Linked DNA regions of Stegostoma tigrinum. The protein of the gene in region 3 purifies or fractionates together with the protein of the main gene of each other region. This does not show direct contact. Links are inferred from orthologs where the notes say so. Each region holds a gene or a part of one and is shown on either strand. Other genes may lie near its edges.

Region 1 (7,145 bases), on a different chromosome or scaffold from region 3:
TACCCTCTTGCTCTTTATATATGAATAAAAGGCTTTGGGATTTTCCTTAACCATGTTTGCCAGCAATATCTCATGTCCTCTCTTAGCCCTCTTCATCCCTCGTTTCAGATTCGCTCTACATTCCCAATATTCTTGCAAAGCTCCGTCTGTCTTCAGTCGCCTAGACCTCATGTATGCTTCCTTTTTTTTCTTGTCTAGTCTCACAATTTCACCTGTCATCCATGTTTCCCTAATCTTGCCTTTTCTATTCCTCATTTTCACAGGAACATGTCTCTCCTGCACGCTAATCAACCTCTCTTTAAAAGCCTCCCACATATCAAATGTGGATTTACCTTCAAACAGCTTCTCCCAATCTACATTCCTCAGATCCTGCCGAATCTTGGTATAGTCGGCCTTCCCCCAGTTTAGTACTCTTCCTTTAGGACCACTCCTATCCTTGTCCGTAAGTATTGTAAAACCTACAGAATTGTGGTCGCTATTTCCAAAGTAGTCCCCTACTGTAATATCAACGACCTGGCCGGTTTCATTCCCCAGCACCAGGTCCAGTATGGCCCCTTCCTGAGTTGGACTCCATACATACTGCTCTAGAAAACCATCCTGGACAGACCTTACAAATTCTGCTCCGTCTTGACCCCGAACGCTGAGTGAATCCCAGTCAATGTTGGGAAAGTTAAAATCTCCCATCACCACCACCCTGTTTCTCCTACACCTTTCCATTATCTGTTTACATATTTGTACCTCTATCTCACGCTCGCTGTTGGGAGGCCTGTAGTGCAGCCCCAACATTGTTACTGCATTCTTCCTATTTTTGAGTTCTACCCATATTGCCTCACTACTTGAGTCCTCCATGGGGCCCTCCTTCAGTGCAGCTGTGATATCGTCTTTGATCATTACTGCAACTTCTCCACCCCTTTTACCTCCCTCTCTATCATCAATATCCTGGGACAACTAGTTGCCCGTCATGCCCTTCCTTCAACCAAGTCTCAGTAATAGCAATAACATCATACCTCCAGGTACCGATCCAAGCCCTAAGCTCATCTGCCTTATCTACTACACTTCTCGCATTAAAACAAACGCACCTCAGTTCACCTGTCCCTTTGTGTTCATCATCTGCTCTCCGACTACTATTCCCTTTAGTCACACTGACTCCATTATCTAGTTCCCTACAGGCTTTCGTTTCTACCTCTTTTCTGTCCAATATTTGGTTCCCATCCCCCTGCCACATTAGTTTAAACCCTCCCCCACAGAATTAGCAAAAGCACCCCCAAGGACATTGGTTCCAGTCTGGTTCAGGTGTAGACCGTCCAATTTGTAATAGTCCCGCCTTCCCCAGAACCAGTTCCAATGTCCCAAAAATCTGAACCCCTCCCTGCGACACCATCTCTCAAGCCACGCATTCATCCTAGCTATTCTTTCATTTCTGCTAGGATTTTGGTTAGGCTTTTTGGTTGGTACTCACAAAAGATCTTGTTTCTTCCTCAGAAGTTGGCACTTCAGAGGGAGAACTCTGAACTGGTTCACACTCAGACATGAACTTGTGACCAAATGGATCATGTTCATAATTTGGTTAATCAATCATTAAGATTTCTTGATCTACATGAAAAAATCCAATCTTTCCGTTATATCAAATAAGTATCCTTTAGTTCAGTAAACTTGTCTTACATTTCTCACATCTGAGACTTTGAGAGAGGTTCAGAATGTAAACATAGTCATTTTTCCTGAAACTGTTCTCTCTTTTGTTTACATTGTGCTGACATCTTTTGACTGAACTGTTTGTGTTCAAGGGTACCAGTCAAATTTGGTAGAACCAAACTCAAAAGTATCCTTAACTTTCTCCTTATCAAACCCTGTGGTAGGGTGTGAAGTTGTTTGACATTTCAGGAGAAAATTAGTCAACTCTGTTTCATTTTGAAATTTAATCACCTATTCTCTGCTTGTTTTTTGAGTGTTATCACAAATCTTTCGGCTGCTCCATTTGATACTGAAAAGTAAGGAGAAGTAAGGATTTATTTAATGCTATTTTGCTTCAGGATTGTTTTTTACAGAATAGAACACAACAGAGGACTATTATCTGAAAAGCTCCTCAGAAAATCCGTGACAAATAAAGATGGGCCATAAGTCAACGATTGTACGTTTTTAGCAAAAATGTTTTCACCCAGTTATTTATTTTGATCCATTTTGAGTAGCTATTGCTGAGCAGTAATACATTTTAATGAAAGTATGCATTGACTCTTTGAAACGGACAAGTTGACTGTGACCACAATTGCAAATAAATATTTGAAGGTTTATTTTGCCTTTGATTCCAAATCACAGTCAAGCTCAAGTCAATAAACAAATTCTTTTGTTAGAGATTTTGTACTGAATTTTGCTGTGTGTTCCATGTTGAGCTCTGCCAGAAATGTATGCCTCAAATACAAACGTGGCACTACTATGTGAACCCACTTACTATCATAGTCATTGAGGTCTACACCACCGAATTGTGTCCATGTCAATTAGAAACAACCACCAAAATATTTAATCCCATTTTCCAGTGCTTTCAGATTTCTCCAGCATCTGCAGTTCCTATTATCTCTGATATCAAAAAATGAGGTGCCAATGTGGTGAAGCCACTAATCAGGACCATTTGCATGCCAAACAGTACAACAAGATGGCACATCAGATGGAGGGTCTAGGCCCGAAACATCAGCTTTCCTGCTCCTAAGATGCTGCTTGGCCTGCTGTGTTCATCCAGCTCTACACCTTGTTATCTCACTTTTTGGTATGCCTGGTGCTACTCCTGGCATGCTCTCCTGTACTCTCCATTGAATCAGGGATGATCCACTGGTTTTTTATGCTGGTCCATGAGGTTGCGGATTGTCCTGGAGTATAATTCTTCTGCAGTTGATGGCCTGCAGCGTCTGGTGGATGCTCAGTCTTGAGTTGTAAGATTCATTCAAAGTCAAAGTAACTGTTTTACTTTCTTAAAAGTAACTATATAGTAATTTGTTAAGTGTAGTCCAGTTCTGCAGAAGAGGGCTCAAGACTGGAAATGTTAATAAAGATAACAAGGTGTAGAGCTGGATGAACACAGCAGGCCAAACAGCATCAGAGGAGTGGGAAAGCTGACATATCGGGTCTGGAGCCTGCTTCAGAAAATATATTGTTTGTTTCAGATTCCCAACATCCACAATATTTTGCATTTATATAGTAATTTGTTCTTATTATTAAGTAGTCAACCCTTACTCTGTATGTATTACCAATGGAAAAAATTTGTGCAAAGAGCAAATTGGTGTGACATACAGGGGGTTTTAAGAGTTTTAAAAATATAATTACAGGGTAATCTGAACATATGCTTTGCTTTACGTTAACATTCTCTCAAAAATACCTCGCATTCTGTGACATAAGCAATAAAAACTTTTAAGATTTTACTAATGTTTAAATTGAAGCCTACTTGACAACAAATAACCCATATGTTTTTGTTCCTGTCGGCGTGCACTTTCTGCCGTTATATCCAACAATGTTTCCGAGTTGTGAAAATGTTGGAATCAGCTTCAAAATATGAATCAAGTCATCAAAACTTTAAATCAAAATCTTGCGATTCTGTATCTCACGGAACCCTGTACTTGGATTTTTTTTTAATTTAAAACTTGTAATGCCTTATTTTCGACGTTTGGAGATGCTCTTGCTTCAATTTTCCACTAGACCGTATCCCAGTCCTGAAGTTCCTTCGGCTAAACTTTTATTAACGCTGCACCACTTCCAAACCGGGAATAAGGCGGGCCGCGGTTCTTCACCCCCACCCCCTCTCAATCAATTCGTATTCGGGGGCTGTATATTGATTAATTCACCCCTAAGAGGTGCTGCAATTCTTTAACTACGATGTATGTCTTTTGTCGCATTTACCGTGCACGGAGAGACATAGAGATATGTAGATAGATAGAGAGAGCAGGAGCACGTCTGTTGTCGACCTTGTTCCCCTTTCTCTCTTCCTTTCGCTTTTCGAGCCCACTCCCCGAGGAAAATCACTGCGTCTGGAGGGTGCCCTACTCCACTTCTCTGTCCCAGCGTGCTCTAGTGGGAATTGGATTTGGGGTTTGTGGGTTTGAGTTGACTAGTGTTGACAGTGTCAGTGACTCCGTGCCTCCCTCCCCCGCTCTCCGTTCATTGGTGCAGCCGGAGACAAATTGGCGCCATTTTGAAGCGTTCTAGGGGCAGGCGGCAGAGGCAGCGGCGGTTGAAGAATTAGACTGGACCGGACTAGTCTGGGGTTCTCACACGGGTGAGGAGACGAACCGTCACTAATTTTGCGGATCTTCTTTGTCGTTGTATTGTATATGTATACACGTTGTTGCTGCTACTGCTGGTGGTTTTTATTTCTGCGTTTCGTTGTATTGGCGACCCCGGATTTATGGGTATTTACCGTCTGGTGTGGCGGCTCGGCTTTCCATACATGCCCGTTTCTGCCTGGGCTTCTTTCTGTCTCGCTCTGCCTTTTATTTTCCGCCCCCTTCACTCAGTCGGCGATGCTTTTCCCCGCTGTGGTTTTGTTTTCAGCGATCGGCAGAGTGGGTAATCCTGGCTGCTGGACCTTGGCGGGCGGGGTGAAAGCCTTTTTGGTTTCTGCTGTAACTCCTGGTGAGAAATCTTGATTCTTCGCCTCTCTGTGTGGGGACCGTAAAGACGGAAAATAATGGCGTTTGAAGTGTAACTGCTGGATGCTTAATTTCTCGTAAGGGTTGAGTTTGCAAGATTTCGGGGCCTGCTAGTACTCATGTTTTTGCTTTGGCCTAGAACTTGACGTATTCGAGCTCGTCCACATATGTATTTTTCCTGTCTTCTCTTCTTCACCCCCGCCCCCCAACAATTGCTTTCAGCAGCCTGTATATGGTGGCTGTCAACGTTCAGGGCAAATTTTTGATGCAATCGCCGTGTTCTTAGAATTTGTCATTTTCGTCCCACTGATAGCATTCTTGATCCTCAACGGGTTAACAGGTTTTGCTGCGCAAGTATTATTTCCCCGTTGTTATTCAAAACGTCAGTCATTTGGGTGCTTTCTTTTAAAAAGAAGTTTTATCATGGTTTGACAACATTTTAAAAAGTACCCTTCTGGGCAAGATCTTTTGTGCCCAATTTTGCTGTCTTTTTGAGAGTGAGACAAATTAGGGTGGGGGAAATACTGTACCAAAAAAACTTGCTAGTTTTTTTCTGTACTTCAAAAGTACATTAGCTGTATTTAAATTCTTTCCTTAATCTGATAGTTTAAATAATTTGCTCTGAATTTGAGGAAAGTGCTTTTATTTTTAAAGATCAGTACAAAACTATTGTGTAAACAAATCAATCATAGTAGTTAACTTAAGATTTTCCTGTCCTTTGTGATGATGGTGTTGCAGGTTATGACCCCATACATTCACAGTAGAAAGATACCTGTCAAGAGTGTGTTGTAGGAACATATGTTAAAAGAGAAAGGCTAAGCTGTTTTGTCCTTTTTGAACTTGTTCACCTGCACCAATATCCATCCTGCATTATAATCACATTCCTTCATTTTGTCAGTTTCCAAAAATCACGTGCCTCTGGAGGATTCTAAATGTTCACAACCTGTTGGAGTTGAGGCAATCTTGTCTCCAGTGTAAGTGGTGAACTGTTTCTAAGGCTGACCCCTATTTCTACAATACCCAACCAGGAAAGCATTTTCCAGAATTGACTTTGCGAAGTCACTTAATGTTTATGCTTTTGAGATGACTTCTAATGTTGAAAGCCTGGTGATCATAGGCCTAATCTTTTCGGTCTGACATCTGAAGATAATTCTCCTCCATCCCATTGTAGAAACTAATTTTGTGAATTTTTACATTTCTTCTGAAGCATTGTTCCTTGTTCCTTGTGCCTTGAATAAGGAGACTAAAATTGTATATAGTACTCCAGATGTTATATTATGAATGTAATTGAAATGAGTTTTTAGAAGGTAGAAAAAGGCCCCTTGTGTCTGCACAGATCATTAAAACATAGATCTGTTCTAATCCTATTTTCCATCAGCACTTGGCTGATAAAGCCTTGTATGCTTTATTTCAAATGCTCATCTAAATAGTTCTTAAATGCTTTTAGTTCCTGTCTCCACTCAGTTTTTTTAAAATGTAGTGAGTTCCAGATATCCGCCATCCGTCTGGTCAACAAACCTTTAGCCTCCCTTTTTGACCCACCATGCTGCTTACTTGAAACATATGCCTCTGTAGACCAAGAAGAAAAGTTTCTCCCTATCTGTGCCTGTCCGAAGTTAGTTGGTGCACCTCAAACAGGCTACTGGCGTTCTGTAACCACCAAACAAAACCTCACCCAACCTTCTCTGCTGGAAGGGAATAAAACCCCAGTTTATCTAATCTCTGTTCCTAGCTGAATCACTCCAGCCTGGGCAACATCCTGGTGAATCCCCTCTGCATCCTTTCCAGTGCAGTCACATCCTTCCTTTATTGTGGTAATCAGAAATGCACACTGTACTCTGGCTGTGGTGTAATCAACATTAATTACAGCTCCATTATAATCTGTTTGCTGTTATAGTCAGTATATTGACTAAGAAAGGCAAGTATTCCATTTGCTGCCTTAACCACCATCTCTGCCTGTCCTGCTGCCTTCAAGAATCTCTGGACATGCGTGCAAAGATCCCTCTGTACTACTTGGGGTCCTACTATTCAAACTATTCCCTTGCCTTGTTAATTCTCTTAAAATGCACCAGCTCTTAATTTTAGTGTGGTAATTGTAGCGATATGTATTTTCCCTTGTGGCTCCATTATTTCGTAATAGGGACTAACATTAGCTTACTTAACTACTTGCTGGTTATGCGTATTAATTTTTGTGATTCATGCACACAATTACCCAGGTTCCCCTGAATACAAATATTTAGCAGGTTTTTTTTCTATGTTCAAAAAATTCTACTCTTGGCTGCCAGTTTGACTAACTTCATTGCATTGTATTCCATCTGCTGTGATCTTGCCTGCTCTCATCTTTAATTGATCCACATACCCCTTGCAACATTCGAGTTTCTCTCTCTTTAGAAAATTAGGTGAGAAAATATCATGAAGAAATGTGTATATATTACTTTTGATCTTCTCAAATTTACTGATTATTGATTGAAAATAGCTGAAGCCCAAATGTTGGTCCCATTGTTTCCTCAGTTG
Region 2 (7,193 bases), on a different chromosome or scaffold from region 3:
AGCTTAAGTAGACACTTAATTCCAGATAACAAGGTAGGGAGCTGGATGAACACAGCAGGCCAAACAGCATCTTAGGAGCAAGAAAGCTGACGTTTCGGGCCTAGACCCTTCATCAGAATTCAAATTCCACCATTTGCCAAGGCTAGGCTTCGAAACCTGGATTAATCATCTAAGAACAATACCGCTAAACTACTGACTCCCCTTTGACATAATTGGTATTATTGTATTACTACTGCATTATATTACTGTCTTGTAACACTGCTTACCTGAGGATTTTAGTAACAGCTGAGTGGCATCATTGCTGCTTGATTAATCCAGAGACCCAAGCAGCATTCTGGGAACTCTGCTTTGAATCTCACTACAGCAGGTGGAGGAATTTAATTCAATACAAAATCATAATAAAAATTATTGTCGGCTGTTGGAAAAGTCCACTTAATTGTGGCACGGTGGCTCAGTGGTTAGCACTACTGTCTCACAGTGCCAGGGACCCAGGTTCGATTCAAGCCTCAGATAACCGTGTGGAGTTTGCACATTTTCCCTGCGTCTATGCGGATTTCCTGCCACAGTCCAAAGATGTGCAGGTTAGGTGGAACGGTCATGCTAAATTACCCAGTGTCCAGGAATGTGAAGGTTAGGTGGGTTGCCATGGGAAACGCAGTGTTACAGGGACAGTGGATCTGGCTGGGATGCTCTTTAGAGGGTCAGTATTGACTTGATTAGCCAATTGGCCTGCTTTCACACAGTAGAAAGTCTATGATCCATTAACACCCTTTTGCAAAGGAATCCGTCATCCTTACTTGGTCTGACCTACATGTGACTCCAGAGTCAAAGCAATGTAGTTGACTCAACTGGAAAAGGCAATAAATACTGGCGTAGCCAGCAACACCCACATCTCCTGAATGAATTTTTAAAAATTTCATTGAATGGTTTATTCATGCATGCTGTAATGTAACAAAAACATTTCCAATAACAGCTACCATTTCACGTATTATTGACTTGTCTCAACATAGAGTCTACAGAGAAACAAAGTAGATGGTGATACTTTTCATTTCAGTCCTATTTTCTGAATGTCACATCTTTTGTTTACAAATTGAATCATATGCATAAGCACTTATGTTTTAAGCATTTCCTTCAAATTCACCACTTCATTTTAATTATAAATAGAAAATAAACAGCAACTAGTTTCGTGTATCAAAGGTAACAACTCTCTTTCTAAATATAGTTTTAATTCCGGGATGGGGGTCATACCAGCTTCGGAGAAAGAGCCAACACAAGATTCTGATAAAAATTACCGACGCTCCTACACATTTGAAGTTGCCACCACCATTTCGAATAGATACAATACAACAAGCTGAAGCTTCAGTGTTTGCAAACAGAGGCCCGGCATCTATTTACACTGCAGCATACTGTCAGTCAAATATCGATACAATTGTTTCGCCCACACAAGTAAACCAATGACGTACCAACGACGGCCACTGAACACGAACTTGCTACACACCCAAAAGATGTGAATACTTCCAACAATAAAATTTCAAGACAGTACATTTATGCAAACGTTTTTCGAAACATCGTAACTGATTTCATGAAGTTAGTTAGACTCATTACATCAACCAGCACGATTTCAAAGATCGAATGCGAGTCATACCAGAAACAAAAATGCAAGATAATGAAACACACGATATCCTTTTTACTTCAATTATCAACCAAGTTAACAGCTGCAAGGGTGAATACAACATGTATCAAAGTTTATAACAAGAACAAATGATATATCTTTCTTCCTATTCCCACCAATGAGAAAGAACCATGTCCGATCTTCACTAGAAAGTTACATCGTATGATCTGACCCACATCTCCAGCGGTATTCCATGTTGACAGCCGATTATAAACAGCTTTTGTTTACCAGCAAAAAAAAAGGAAAATCAGCTATTGTATTTTTTATCTCTGAACTCATAAAACAGGTTTAAGTGCCGAAATCTACCATAACTACAATGTGGAAACTGCACTCGATACTTTGGCATTCAGGCGACGCTCAGGTAGGTTCCACAACCAGGCCTCAGTAAATCACACTGCCCAAGCGCCTCTCTTAAAAACGCTGAGGGCGGTTGTCCTCTGGAACGAGACCCATATCGGCGGCTAGGCCCCAAGCCGCTTGTCGCCTCACCCCCACACCCTTCTCCGGGCTGCTAGCAAGACCTCCGCATCGCCCAACCCCCCCCCCTCCCTGCCCCCTTTGTTAACTCAGGCGAGTGTCCCGGCTTCACTCGACCACCTCTAGTCGAGGCGGCCTCTAATCACCTCTCACAGGCCCACCCCTTCACCTTCTCATATCTGATCTCCAGTAGCCGAAATCGCCCGGACCCAGGGCCAGGGCCGCAGTTCTTCCTTGGGCCTGAGGCCTAGGGCCCCGACAAAACCCCATATTCTTCCCTCCCTCCCCCACCCGGGTTCGGGCCTCACTCGGCCTGGGGCGGCGGGACACACAGCAACATTCCACCTAAAGTCAACCCCGCCAACAGTAAAGTCAGAAAGACCCGAGAGCTGCTAAAGTACTCGAGAAGGCCCTAATCCGCGGCCTCGCCTGTTCGCCCTGCCCACTGCCGGGGAATCACTAGACGGATTTTAAATTTTACTAGTGTCCTCCTTGGATTTTACCTCAGCGAAGAAGCCGCTGTCGATGTTGATGTCGATGCGAGTCGCTGGCTCCGGGAATGTGAAGGGGGCGGCGGGCAGAACAACAAACACCGAGCGGACATGAAGGGACGTGAAGTGGCGGCGCGCTCCCTCCCTCCCTCCCCCGCCCGTCCGCCTGCCCACCCGCCTCAGCCTGTCGACCGTGTGAGCCCTTGGCTTTCCTGGATACCGGCTTCGGCGTCTGCCTGCGATGCGGCCTGGCTCTCTGAGCCTGGGTAAAGGCACCGAGCGGCGGCGGAAACTCCAGCTCAGCCTCGAAGGCGATTCCTCTCTCGCAGACAAAATGCCGACCGGAAGTGAACGAAACCAGCGCGAGCGGAGGGAGGAAGAAGGCGCCAAACGCGATCATTTCCGGCTGCAGCGGCTCCGCGCGCCCACGGTACAGTGTGCGCGCCCACCGGCCGCGTGCGCGCCCCCCCGGGCAGCACGTCGCGCAGGCGCAGCTGTGTGGCCGGTAGTTTGCACGTGCTTTTGGCGCGTTTCCTGTCGGTGAGAGGATTTACTGAGACAGTGGGAAGTGCAGATGCTGGAGAATCTGAGATAACACGGTGTAGAGCTGGATAAACACAGCAGGCCAAGCAGCATCAGTGGAGCAGGAAGCCTGACGAATTTCTGAAGAAGGGTCTAGACCCGAAACATCAGCTTTCCTGCTCCTCTGATGCTGCTTGGCCTGCTGTGTTCATCCAGCTCTACACCTTGTTATCTCAGATTGTCCAGCATCTGCAGTTCCTACTGTCTCTGAAACATGGTGGGATGCTTGGATCTACAAAAATCCTTTGATAAGGCCCCACATCAAAAGTTTTTTTTTAGAACGCCCCTTGGCAAGAGCACGCACGGAGAAGAAGGTATACAAGATAATGAGAGGCATAGATAGAGTTGATAGCCAGAGACTATTTCCCAGGGCAGAAATGGCTAGCACAAGGGGTCATAGTTTTAAGCTGGTTGATGGAAAGTATAGAGGGGATGTCAGAGGCAGGTTCTTTACGCAGACAGTTGTGAGAGCATGGAATGCGTTGCCAGCAGCAGTTGTGGAAGCAAGGTCATTGGGGTCATTTAAGAGACTGCTGGACATGTATATGGTCACAGAAATTTGAGGGTGCATACATGAGGATCAATGGTCGGCACAACATTGTGGGCTGAAAGGCCTGTTCTGTGCTGTACTGTTCTATGTTCTATGTTCTAAAGGAATGCCAGCGATCTCAAACCCAAGGATCAATTCCAACTGTCAAATGTGTGGTCAGAAGTGTGGCTCTAGCATCCGGCTCATCAGTCACACAAGGACCCACAGACCCCATGATCAGTCACACGGAATTGCACAGGTAGACAATCATATACGTTACGAATGATTGTCAACAACATTGAACGCTATTACAGAAAATAAGAGCTTTTAGGCAATTAACATGGATAGAGGATCCGTCATCTGATAGGAAATGGACGGTACGATAACTGAGTCATTTCTGGCTGGCAAGAGAAAATGGAAGACTTGACAGCTACCAAGAGCGCAAAACAGCAGAGGTTCTACAGGAATACCAAATGTGCAATGGAGAATTTAAAAAGGACAGTGGAAGAGGAAAATGAGACCATGAAAGGTTAATAGTAGTAAACCAGAGAAAAATCCTAAGTTATTTTACAAATATATTGAGGGTAAAAGGATAAGGAAAGAATGGGACCCATTAAGGATCATAGTGGTAATTTGACATAGGTGGGGTTCTGAATGCATATTTTATTCCAATGTTCAATAGCGAGAGGGGCAACATGAGTGTAGAAATGAGGGAGAAGGACTGATATAATTAAAGAAATTTGCATAGCCAGAGAGGAGGTTCCAAATGGTCAGATAGTCTTAAAAGTAGATTAATGGATGTGAGATTGCTCGCTGAGCTGGAAGGTTCATTTTCAGACATTTCGCCACCATTCTAGGTAACATCATCAGTGAGCCTCCGACGAAACCTCCCCTTAACACCCCGCTAGCCAAAAGAATAGCTGAGCAAAACGGCCGCAGAATGTTTCGAGAAATGATCAATGATGCTCACAACAGACTCCGTAAATACAACCAGGAAATTTCGCGCCAAAAAAAAACTTTACTCACTAATGCGACAGACCATGAATGGACTGACAGGCTTTGTCAGAGGCTCACTGATGATGTTACCTAGAATGGTGACGAGACGTCTGAAAATGAACCTTCCAGCTCTGCAAGATCTCACATCCAGAACCTCTACCTGAGCTACAAATCTTCTCAAAACTCGCAAGTAGATTAATGTCCAGGGCCAGATGAAATGTATCCCAGCTTTTGAGTGAGGCAAGGGAGAAAATAGTAGGGATGCTGGCATTATTTTTTAATTCCTCTGTGGCCACAGGAGAGGTGTGAAAAGACTGGGGGACCACCAGTGTGTTACTGTTATTGAAAAAGGAAGCTAGAAATAAACCAGGAAACTGCAGGCCAGTCAGTCTAACCTCAGTGGTGGGGAAACTGTTGGAAGCAATTCTGATGGGCAGAATTAATAGACAATAGGTGCTGGAGTAGGCCATTCGGCCCTTCGAGCCAGCACCACAATCTGCAGTAGGAGAGAAGAGGATTAACAAGAACAGTCAGCATGGGTTGTTAAGGGGAGGTCATGTCTGACCAACTTGATTGAATTTTTCAAAGAGGCGACTAGGTATGTAAATAAGGGCAATGCTTTTGATATAGTTTTAGAGATAAGGTCTTTTGATAAGTCCCAATTGGGAAGAAATGGAGGTGCTGGTGTTGGACCAGGGTGGACACTTGACCTGACGTCAGGGAAGTTGGGGTGTGGAGGCAGCACTTCATGAAGTGGAGGAGCAGTGCTCTGAAAGCTTGTGATTTCAAATAAACCTGTTGGACTATAATCTGGTGCCTTGTGTCTTCTGACATTGCCCCACATGGGAGACGGATAGTAAAAGTAAAAACCCAGGGGATCCAAGAAAATTTGGCAAATTCGATCCAGAATTATCCCAGTGGCAGAAAGAAGTTTTGTCAAGGGGTGTTTTATGGTTAGAAGCCTGTATCCTGTAGGGTTCCACAGGAATCAGTGTTGGGGCCTTTGCTGTTCGTGGTACAGATAAATGATTTGGACTTGAATGTATGAAGGCTGTTCATTAAGTTTGCAGATGATATGAAAATTGTTGGGGTGATAAATAGCGGTGAGGAAAGCTTTAGATTGTGTAGGAGGATGTGGACGGGTTAGTTTGATGAGCTGGTCAGTAGCAAATGGGATTCAATCAGGATAAATGAAAGGTTATGACCTTGGGCAGGCAAGCAAGATTGTACCTCTGAGCATAATTCCAGTGAGCTAAAGTGTTAATGGATATTCATGACCTGCTAAAGAATTCAGAACAGGTTCCGAACCATCAAGATTGGGAAAGTTGACTAGCCTGGAAGGGTCTGCAAACTTAGTAACGGCACAGAATGCTTTAGCTGTAGCCTAATCAACTTTTTATACAGTTCCAGCATAACCTTTAGGAACATAGGGGCAGCACAGTGGCTCAGTGGTTAGCACGGCTGCCTTACAGTACCAGGGACCCGGGTTCGATTCCACCCTTGGGCAACTGTCTGTGTGGAGTTTGTACATTCTCCTTGTGTCTGTGTGGCTTTCCTCCGGGTGCTCCAGTTTCCTCCCACAGTCCATAGATATGCAGGTTAAGTGGATTGGCCATGCTAAATTGCCCGTAGTGTTCAGGGATGTGCAGATTAGGTGGGATATAGGGGGATGGGTCTGGGTGGGTTTCTCTGAAGGTCAGTGTGGGGTTGTTGGGCCACAGGGCCTGTTTCCACACTGTAGAGATTCTATGATTCTAAAAACAAGAGTTGCTGGAAAAGTTCAGCAAGTCTGGCAACACCTGTAAAGGAAAAAAATCAGGAAAGGTCCAGTGACCCTGAGGAAGGGCCTCAGACCCAAAATGTTAACTCTAATTTTTTTTCTTCACAGATGCTGAGCTTTTCCAACAATCCTGTTTTTGTTCCTCATTTACAGCATCTGCAGTTTTCTCATTTTCTTTTTAGCATTTAAGTCACTGCCACATCTTTTCTAGGCATGCCCATCTTGAAGAAGTTCTGCTCCATTCTCCAGGATTTCTGTTCCCATCTTTCTTCTTGCCCACCAACATTAATTTCACTGTCACTCTGGTGTTTGACCGAGTATTTGCTAAAACTCATTTCTACAGCCACATCACATTCCTCAGTGACTGCCTCCAGCTCAGACTCGCCCCACGTGGATTCCAACTGAAGTTTCATCCCTCATGTTTTGAATCCTCTCAGAATCACAGATATCTCTGTGATGTTCAACATTCCACAGATAGCTGCTCTCACCACATCCTGAGATCCATACTCAGTGCCATGCAGCATCACATGCACACTCTTGACCATTCTCTCCAACAGCATCGCAACATACTGGCTCAAGGTTGCACCACTCTGCAGTTCTAACTCACTTATGCATACCACAAATAGCCACACTGATCCCTGTAGTACCCCACGAGACAAAAGTTGC
Region 3 (7,759 bases):
TATTCTTTATTTCATGCATTCAGCCCCTGGAGGTGAGATTCACAGGCTGGGTCAGCATTTGTTGCCCATCACTGACCACCCTGGAGAAAGTCACGGTGAGCCACTTTCCCGAATCTCTAATATACTGAAGGTGCTCCAATAGTGCTGCTAGATGGGGTTCAAAGATTTTTATCCAACAATGAAGAAGAAAGGGTGATACATTTCCAAATTAGGATGACCTGTGACTTAGAGGAAAATTTGGTTATGGTTGTGCTCTCATGTGGTCCCTGACCTTGTCTTTTATATGTCTTAGTGTTTGGAAGGTTCTGCTGAAGATAATTTGGTGAGTTGTTAGAATTGACGAAGTTTTCCAAATTTTGTTGAAGGACTATAGCAACCACTGAGCAGATGTAATTATGAGAGATAATTTGGACACATATTAAGGATATTTTAAAATTCTGAGCAATGCCTCCTGCCATTAGCAAAACAATCATTCACTAGATCAAGGTATTTACTACTAAAGGCTTTTAACTTAGTTTCATCTGAACATCTTGTGACTGCTGTTTTCTTTTGGCATTTATGCACGCTTGTAATCCACTCCTGAGCTCTGTGAGACATTATCCACACATTGATGCGAATTTCCACAAACTGTCAATGTCATATATTTCCAAATTTCCAATGCAGGAATGCCTCACTTTTCTTGGTATATGGGGGTCACAGAAACACAATTAGTCATCACTGAGTCCCAACCTGAAACGTCAAATCTGATGCTCCCTGGCCTACTGTGCTCCTCCAGCTCCGCACTGTTATCTCTAGCCATCACAGGTACTTGTTCTGTCAAATTCCAATCAGCTTATTACAGGACTTAAACATGCCATTGAGCATGCACAGCACAGGAGAACGTTTGTCCCTGATATTTGTATCAGCTGTAGCCACCATCTAACTATCACAGGATCTCAGTTGCACAGAATTGGAAAAAATCTGCTAGAAAGAGAGACATGCTGTCAAAGTCTTTTCCCTTGCAATCATCAGGACAGAATCTCAAAAATATTAAATTTTGCAGGGAATTTCTCAAGACGGTATACATTGTTATTTCTCTTGAAATTTCATAGTATCCTGACTGTATGGAAACAGGCCATTCAACCTGTCAAGTCTACACTGACCCCCTGAAGCGTATCCCACACAGACCTGCCCCCACTCTTTCCCTGTAACTCTGCATTTCCCATGGCTAATTCACCTAGCCTATGCCCCCAGAACACTATGGACAATTTAGCACGGCCAATCCGTCTGTTTTGAATCTTTTTCTTTCGTTCTGTTCTCTGGATAGCCAAAGTAACAGTTTGAACTGGGAGGCAAGGTAGAGGGGCCCACAATCACACTTAAAAGCAGTCCTCAGCAACTGGGAGGACAGAACGCTCATGTCTGGGGCTGGGTGTAGAAGGGCAGTGGGAATGGTTGGCAAATGTGCAAGGGGAGAGATAGCGGCAATAAGTATGGAGACAGACAGTTGGGTCAGTGAGTGGGAGGGGAAGGCAGCTGCTCCATTTGGGAACTGGTGGCTGTAGGTTTCATTAAGAGCCATGAATGTATGAATGCCATGAATGTTCTCCTCTTGATGCATGAGATGTATAGAATGAAGTATCACTGTAGAGCCACCTCCTTTTCACTGTTAGCTTTCCTGGCTACTGAGAAACTGGCATGGTTGCAGCAAATATTAAAGCAAGTGGTATAGTGGTAATGTCACCAGGTTGGTAATCCAGAACCCCAGCCTAATGCTTGGGAGATGTAGGCTCAAATCCCACCATGGTGTAATTTGAAATTGATAAATCTAGAACACAAAGGTGGCACAGTGATCATGACAACTATCATTCAAAACCTTTAGAGAAGAGAATGAAAATCTGCCAGCTTTCCCTGGCATGACCTACATGTCACTATAAATCTACAATAACGTGGTTGACTTGTAACTGCCCTTTAAATACACACCTCACTCAGTTCAAGGACGATTAAAAACAAGCATCAAAAGCTAGCCTTTTGGGCAGTGCTTACATCCCAAGGAGGAATAAGAAAAGCATAGTAGGAGGACAACTTAAATACATTAAATATGTAGGAATAGACTCAATGCCTTGATATACAGGTGTATGTGAAACACCCATTCCCCATGTTAAAGTCTTCAAAGCTCAACCTCGATGTACAGAGGTAAAAAAGTACATAATCTCTGCTCCCTGAGGATGCCAGGCTGCTTAAGGGTTCTTGTACCTGGGATGTTCAAAGTTACAAATTCAATTGTGTTGCCATAAAGGTGGAGGGATAGATAGTTGTCAGTGGCTGTTAATAAAACATATCATAATCTAGTCTTTGTTACTAAGGAAAGGAGTGAAAGATCCAGCAGAAATGGAAGAATTCTCCAGATTACTTGGAGAGAGTGGCAGATGAATGTCAAGATTTTGAAATACAGTCATAGAGTTATATAGCATGGAATTAGATCCTATGGTCCAACTTGGTCACCAGATATCCTGAATTAATCTAGTCCCATTTACCAGCATCTGGCAATAAGCTGAAAGACTCAGACAGCCAGGACAGACATGATGAGCCAAATCATTGCCTTCTGCACCATAACACTTCGATATTTCGACATTTCTAGTGTTGTTAAAAACCACAGAGAAAGATTTTCAATGTTTGTAGTCAGATTTGTGGAAAGAAATTTGCAAGTTCTTGAATCAACATAACTACCAAGTTATTTCATAGAATCCCTACAGTGTGACAGCAGGCTAATAGGCTAATTGAGTCCACACCAACCCTCCAAACAGCATTCCACCCAGACCTCCCCCATCCTTGTAACCTTGTATTTCCTTGGGACAATCTTTGATTTGATTTATTATCATTTGTACCTAAGTCCAGTGAAAAGCTTTGTTTATGAGCAGCACAGGCAGGTCACAGTAAGCACAGGACATACAGATCACAGGGTGAAAATAAAACTTGGACAGAGGTAAGACAAAAAAATGTGAGGCTGAATGAACACAGCAGGCCAAGCAGCATCTCAGGAGCACAAAAGCTGACGTTTCGGGCCTAGACCCTTCATCAGAGCTTTTTTTTTGAAGGGTCTAGGCCCGAAACGTCAGCTTTTGTGCTCCTGAGATGCTGCTTGGCCTGCTGTGTTCATCCAGCCTCACATTTCGTTGTCTTGGATTCTCCAGCATCTGCAGTTCCCATTATCTCTTGGACTGAGGTATGCAGGTTACATCACACAGGACAGGCACTAGGCGAGATCAACATTAGCAAGATCAGCATTATTTAGTATTAGAGAGTGCATTTATCAGTCTAGTAACAGTAGGGAAGCTGTTCTTGAATCTGCTGGTGCATGTGTTCAAGTTTCCGTATCTTCTGCCTGATAGAACATAGACATAGAACAATACAGTGCAGAAAAGGCCCTTCGGCCCTCAATGTTGTGCCGACCTGTGAACTAATCTAAGCCCCTCCCCCTACACTATCCCATCATCATCCATATGCTTATCCAAGGACTGTTTAAATGCCCCTAATGTGGCTGAGTTAACTACATTGGCAGGGAGGGCATTCCGTGCCCTTACCACTCTCTGAGTAAAGAACCTGCCTCTGACATCTGTCTTAAATATATCATCCCTCAATTTGTAGCTATGCCCCCTTGTACAAGCTGAAGTCATCATCCTCGGAAAAAGATTCTCACTGTCCACCCTATCTAATCCTCAGAAGAGGTTGCAGGGGAGAATTACCAGGGTAATGAGCTGCGTAAATGGAGTCCATGAATGGAATGTTGTCTTCCATGAGGGTCTGTGCATTCAACCTTCATTAGTTTCTTATAGTCTTGAGTAGAAGAGTTACCATACTAGGTCATTATGCTTTCAATGGTACAACTGCGTGTTATGGAGGGTCCTTGTGGGCTTGCCAAATTTCCTGAGCCGCTTGAGGAAGAAGAGGCATTGTTGTGCCTTCTTGACCATCCCAAATACGTGGGAAGTCCAGGAAAGGTCATTGGTTATCGTCACTCCTAGCCAATCCACTTAGCCTGCACTTTAGGGGCAATTTAGCATGGCCAATCCACCTAGCCTGCATGTCTTTGGACTGAGGGAGGAAAGCGGAGCACCCGGAGAAACCCACAGAGACATGGTGAGAATGTGTAAACTCCACACAGACACCCAAGGGTGGAATTGAACCCAGGTTCCTATCTTAGGGGCCTCTTGTAGCTTCTCTACCTCTGAGCCAGGAGGACCAGGTTTAAGTGGCAGGTACATGTATCATAATGTGAACAGGTTGATGATGGCAAATATCTGTACCAGTTAGAACGGGTCTTGCAGTGCAATGGTAATGACACCACCTCTGACCCAGAAGTTTGAGGTACGTGTGTAATAACATATCTGTACAGGTTGGCTGAAACAGATACGAAAGCTCATTGTGAAATAAAAGCCCGCCGGCAAAAAAGGCTGGGCTGTGTTTAAAGAGCCCGATCTGCATGCCCCTTTAAGTGGAAGCCCCGCTCCAGGCGCCAGAACGTTCCATTGGCGCCAAATGTTTGACCGCTCCTGGACCATACCAACATCAAATAGGGGGTACAGACTGTGTGCAGTGCGTTGAAACATTCTTCTGTTCCAGAATTCGAGGGAAATTTCAAAAACAAACATTAATATAAATTATCACTAAATGATAATGGATGGGTCGATCAGTTGAATGCTTCTATCCCATGCATTTCCCTTGTTGCCTTTCTTACTACCCCATGGTCACTGCTTTGGTACAGGGTGAGGGGAGCCGCCATTTTGTCGGAGTTTTGCCGCTTTCGGGTTATTTTTGTTTGTTTTTTTTATTGTCGTTGCCCCCGGTTCTCGGCGGCGGAGGAGGTTATTTTTATTAATTTAATAACGACGGTCGGAAGGCGGTGGGGAGGATAGCCTCCAGTGCCGCTGAGGGACGCGAGATATGTACATTAAACAGGTAAAGGCCCCGCTCGGCGAGGCTGGGAGCGAACGGCCGGGCCTCGCCGGCCCCGTTGGGGGGCGAACGGCCGGGTCCCGCGGCGGGGGGGAGGAATGGCCGGGATGGTTATTCTTCCTATTGGAAGAAAATACCGCATCAAGTGTCCGATAAGGAGCGTTTATTTGCTCACATCCACTTGATCGAACATTTTAGGATCTATATGATCATAAACTGACAACAGTTTACTAAATATGTGGATATTTTTAACGCATGACAGTGCAACTAAGAAGTAAAATTAGAATTCACCTGTAAAATTGTGAAGTGACAGGCCCCAACTTCAAAAGGCCGATATTCATCCCCCCGGCTTCTGACCGTCTTCCTTGTCATTTGCGTAGGCAGAGGGCCCATAAGCTCTATTTTATTATTTTATCAGAAGGGGATAATGCAGCCAGGTAGTTCGTTGGATTGACACAGGGCCGTCCGGAATAAATGTCTTTTAAAGTACAGGCGGGATTTATGGAACTGGATGCTGTCTGCCCAAGAGGCTCCAAGTTGTTGATTGTGATTTTCTTTTATGGGGAAAGAGAATGGATACCTAACGTGCATGGAGATAGCACTTTTAACATACACAGGAACCCTTCTCAACGTATTCCTTCATCTGTTCAACGAATTATGCCTGGGGAGATAGTGGTGATATCACTGGACCAGCAGTTCAGAACCCCAGGCCAGTGTGTTCTGGGGACGTGGGTTTAAACCATAAGAAATAAGAACAACAGTTGGCCATTAAGCTCCTCAAGCCTGCCCTGCTATTCAATAGAATCATGACTGGTCAGACATTCATCACATCCACTTTTCTGCCTTTTCCCATAATCCTTGATTCTCCTACTAATGAAGAACCTATTTGTCTCTGCCTAAAATAAACACAGGTATAGCGGTTATCACTGCTGTCTCGTAACACTGGGGATCCAGGTTTAATCTCAGCTTTGGTTACTATCTATGGATTTTGTATGTTCTCCCTTTGTTTGGCCAGTCAGGTGCTCAAATTTCCTCCGACAGTTCATATTAGGTGGATTGGCTGTGCTTAATTGCTCTGGTGATCAGGACTGTGCCGGCTAGGTGGGTTAGCCATGGTAAATGTGAGGTTATGGGGATTGGGTGAGATGCTGTTTGTTGGGTCAATGCAGACTTGTTAGGGAGAGTGGCCTCATTTTGTACTGTAGGGATGCTGTGATTCTACTCTGACTCCGTTCCTAAAGCGGTCTGGCAAGGAGATGCAAAGACTCAACCCTCAGAGAGAGAGAGAAAATAAAAACTCTTCCTCATCTCAGTCTTAAACAGGCACCTGTTTATTCTGAAACTATGCCCTCTTCTCTTAGACTCACTCTGCCATGAGGGAAAGCATCTTTCAACATTTATCCTGTCAAGTCCCTTAACAATCCTATATGTTTCAATGCAGTCATCTGTCATTCCTCTAAACTCCAGTGGGTACAGTCCCAACTGGTTTAACTTTTGCACATATGACAATCCCTCCATACCAGGGGTCATCCTAGTATATGTTTTCACAACTGCTTTCAATGGAATTATCTCTCCATAACTGTGGAGACTCAGACTGCTTACAGTACTCCAGACACTATCTCCCTTGCACAGTTGCAGTAAGATTTCCTACTCTTGTACTCTACTGTAGTGTTAGTATCCAATCACGAGTTCAATAAAAAATGGCAATCATGTAACCAACAGTCAGTTGTCAGAAAAACCTATCTGCTTCACTAATACCCTTAGCAAAGGAATGTGCCATCCATTCCCGGTGTGCCCTACACTGGATCCACTGCAATGTGCAGAAGAATTTTTCAGCTGCAGGTTTGTGTTTTAAAAAACAGTCTGTCACACCTTTGCCACAAGTGTATCTCGTTAAATATTTGTGTGGTGGTGTAAGCGATAATTCTCAGACTGCAGTTAGTAGCACCCTTTCACTTCTGAGTGAGAACATTGTGATTCAAGTGCCACTCCAAAGACTTGAGTGCAAAAATCTTAAATGAAATACCGGTGTAATACTGCAGGAGTACTGCCTTGTCAGAGGACCCATACTTTGGAAGAGTGGTTCAACTAAGGCCCCATCTGTCTCCTCAGGTGGTAGTGAAATATCATGGCACAATTTGGCAGAGCACAGTGGCTATCCTGTGCTCTGATGAAGGGCCTAGGCCCGAAACGTCAGCTTTTGTGCTGTTGGCCTGCTGTGCTCATTCAGCTCCACACTTTGTTATCTTGGATTCTCTGGCATCTGCGGTTCCCATTATCTCTGATACAGTGGCTATCCAGATTGGCCATCCTGGCCAGTTATTACTTAAAAACAAAATGTGGGGTCTTTGAATGGTTACAGTATGGATGAAGTCAATTAGCCTTTTGTGGCTGGTCAAAAGCTTGACTTATCTTCTCCCTGCAGTAGAAGAAGATTTTGTGGTTGTTATGATATTGCTGTTTGTGGGAACTTGTGTGTAAATTGGCTGTTGAGTTTCTTATTGGCTATACTTCAAAATTAAATCTACCTCTTCCCACCCACCTTCCTGCAAAAATCCATCCCCTATTCCCTGGATGAGGCATTCCACTCCCATACATCTCAGATGACCTTGTTTTTCAAGGATCCCCCCTCCCCCCTCCCCCCGCCCCACCCCACCCCACTGTGGTTGAGAACGCCCTCGACCGTGTCTCCCGCATTTCCTGCAACTCATCCCTCACCCCCTCCCTGCAATAACAACCAAAACAAAATCCCCTTCGTCTTCACATACCACCCCATCAACCTCCGGATCCAACACATCAACCTCCGACAGGTCTGCCATCTGCA

What was found.
Region 1: the proteins of smc3 (region 3) and sister chromatid cohesion protein PDS5 homolog B purify together in Homo sapiens (co-immunoprecipitation; 7 studies listed by BioGRID and IntAct, with this or other methods). This does not show direct contact. The link is inferred for Stegostoma tigrinum from reciprocal best matches to the Homo sapiens genes SMC3 and PDS5B.
Region 2: the proteins of smc3 (region 3) and nipped-B-like protein purify together in Homo sapiens (affinity purification with western blotting; 4 studies listed by BioGRID, with this or other methods). This does not show direct contact. The link is inferred for Stegostoma tigrinum from reciprocal best matches to the Homo sapiens genes SMC3 and NIPBL.

Annotation. Positions count from the first base shown.
Region 1 is NC_081359.1:81,958,449-81,965,593, forward strand, and holds the start of sister chromatid cohesion protein PDS5 homolog B, read left to right. Parts: upstream 1-4,140; 5' UTR 4,141-4,258; intron 4,259-4,302; exon of another isoform or gene 4,303-4,614; intron 4,615-7,145. UniProt on the Homo sapiens protein: Regulator of sister chromatid cohesion in mitosis which may stabilize cohesin complex association with chromatin. May couple sister chromatid cohesion during mitosis to DNA replication.
Region 2 is NC_081356.1:138,995,860-139,003,052, forward strand, and holds the start of nipped-B-like protein, read right to left. Parts: upstream 3,006-7,193; 5' UTR 2,861-3,005; intron 2,770-2,860; exon of another isoform or gene 2,653-2,769; intron 1-2,652. UniProt on the Homo sapiens protein: Plays an important role in the loading of the cohesin complex on to DNA. Forms a heterodimeric complex (also known as cohesin loading complex) with MAU2/SCC4 which mediates the loading of the cohesin complex onto chromatin.
Region 3 is NC_081373.1:2,591,275-2,599,033, reverse strand, and holds the start of smc3 (structural maintenance of chromosomes protein 3), read left to right. Parts: upstream 1-4,749; 5' UTR 4,750-4,923; coding exon 4,924-4,938; intron 4,939-7,759. UniProt on the Homo sapiens protein: Central component of cohesin, a complex required for chromosome cohesion during the cell cycle. The cohesin complex may form a large proteinaceous ring within which sister chromatids can be trapped.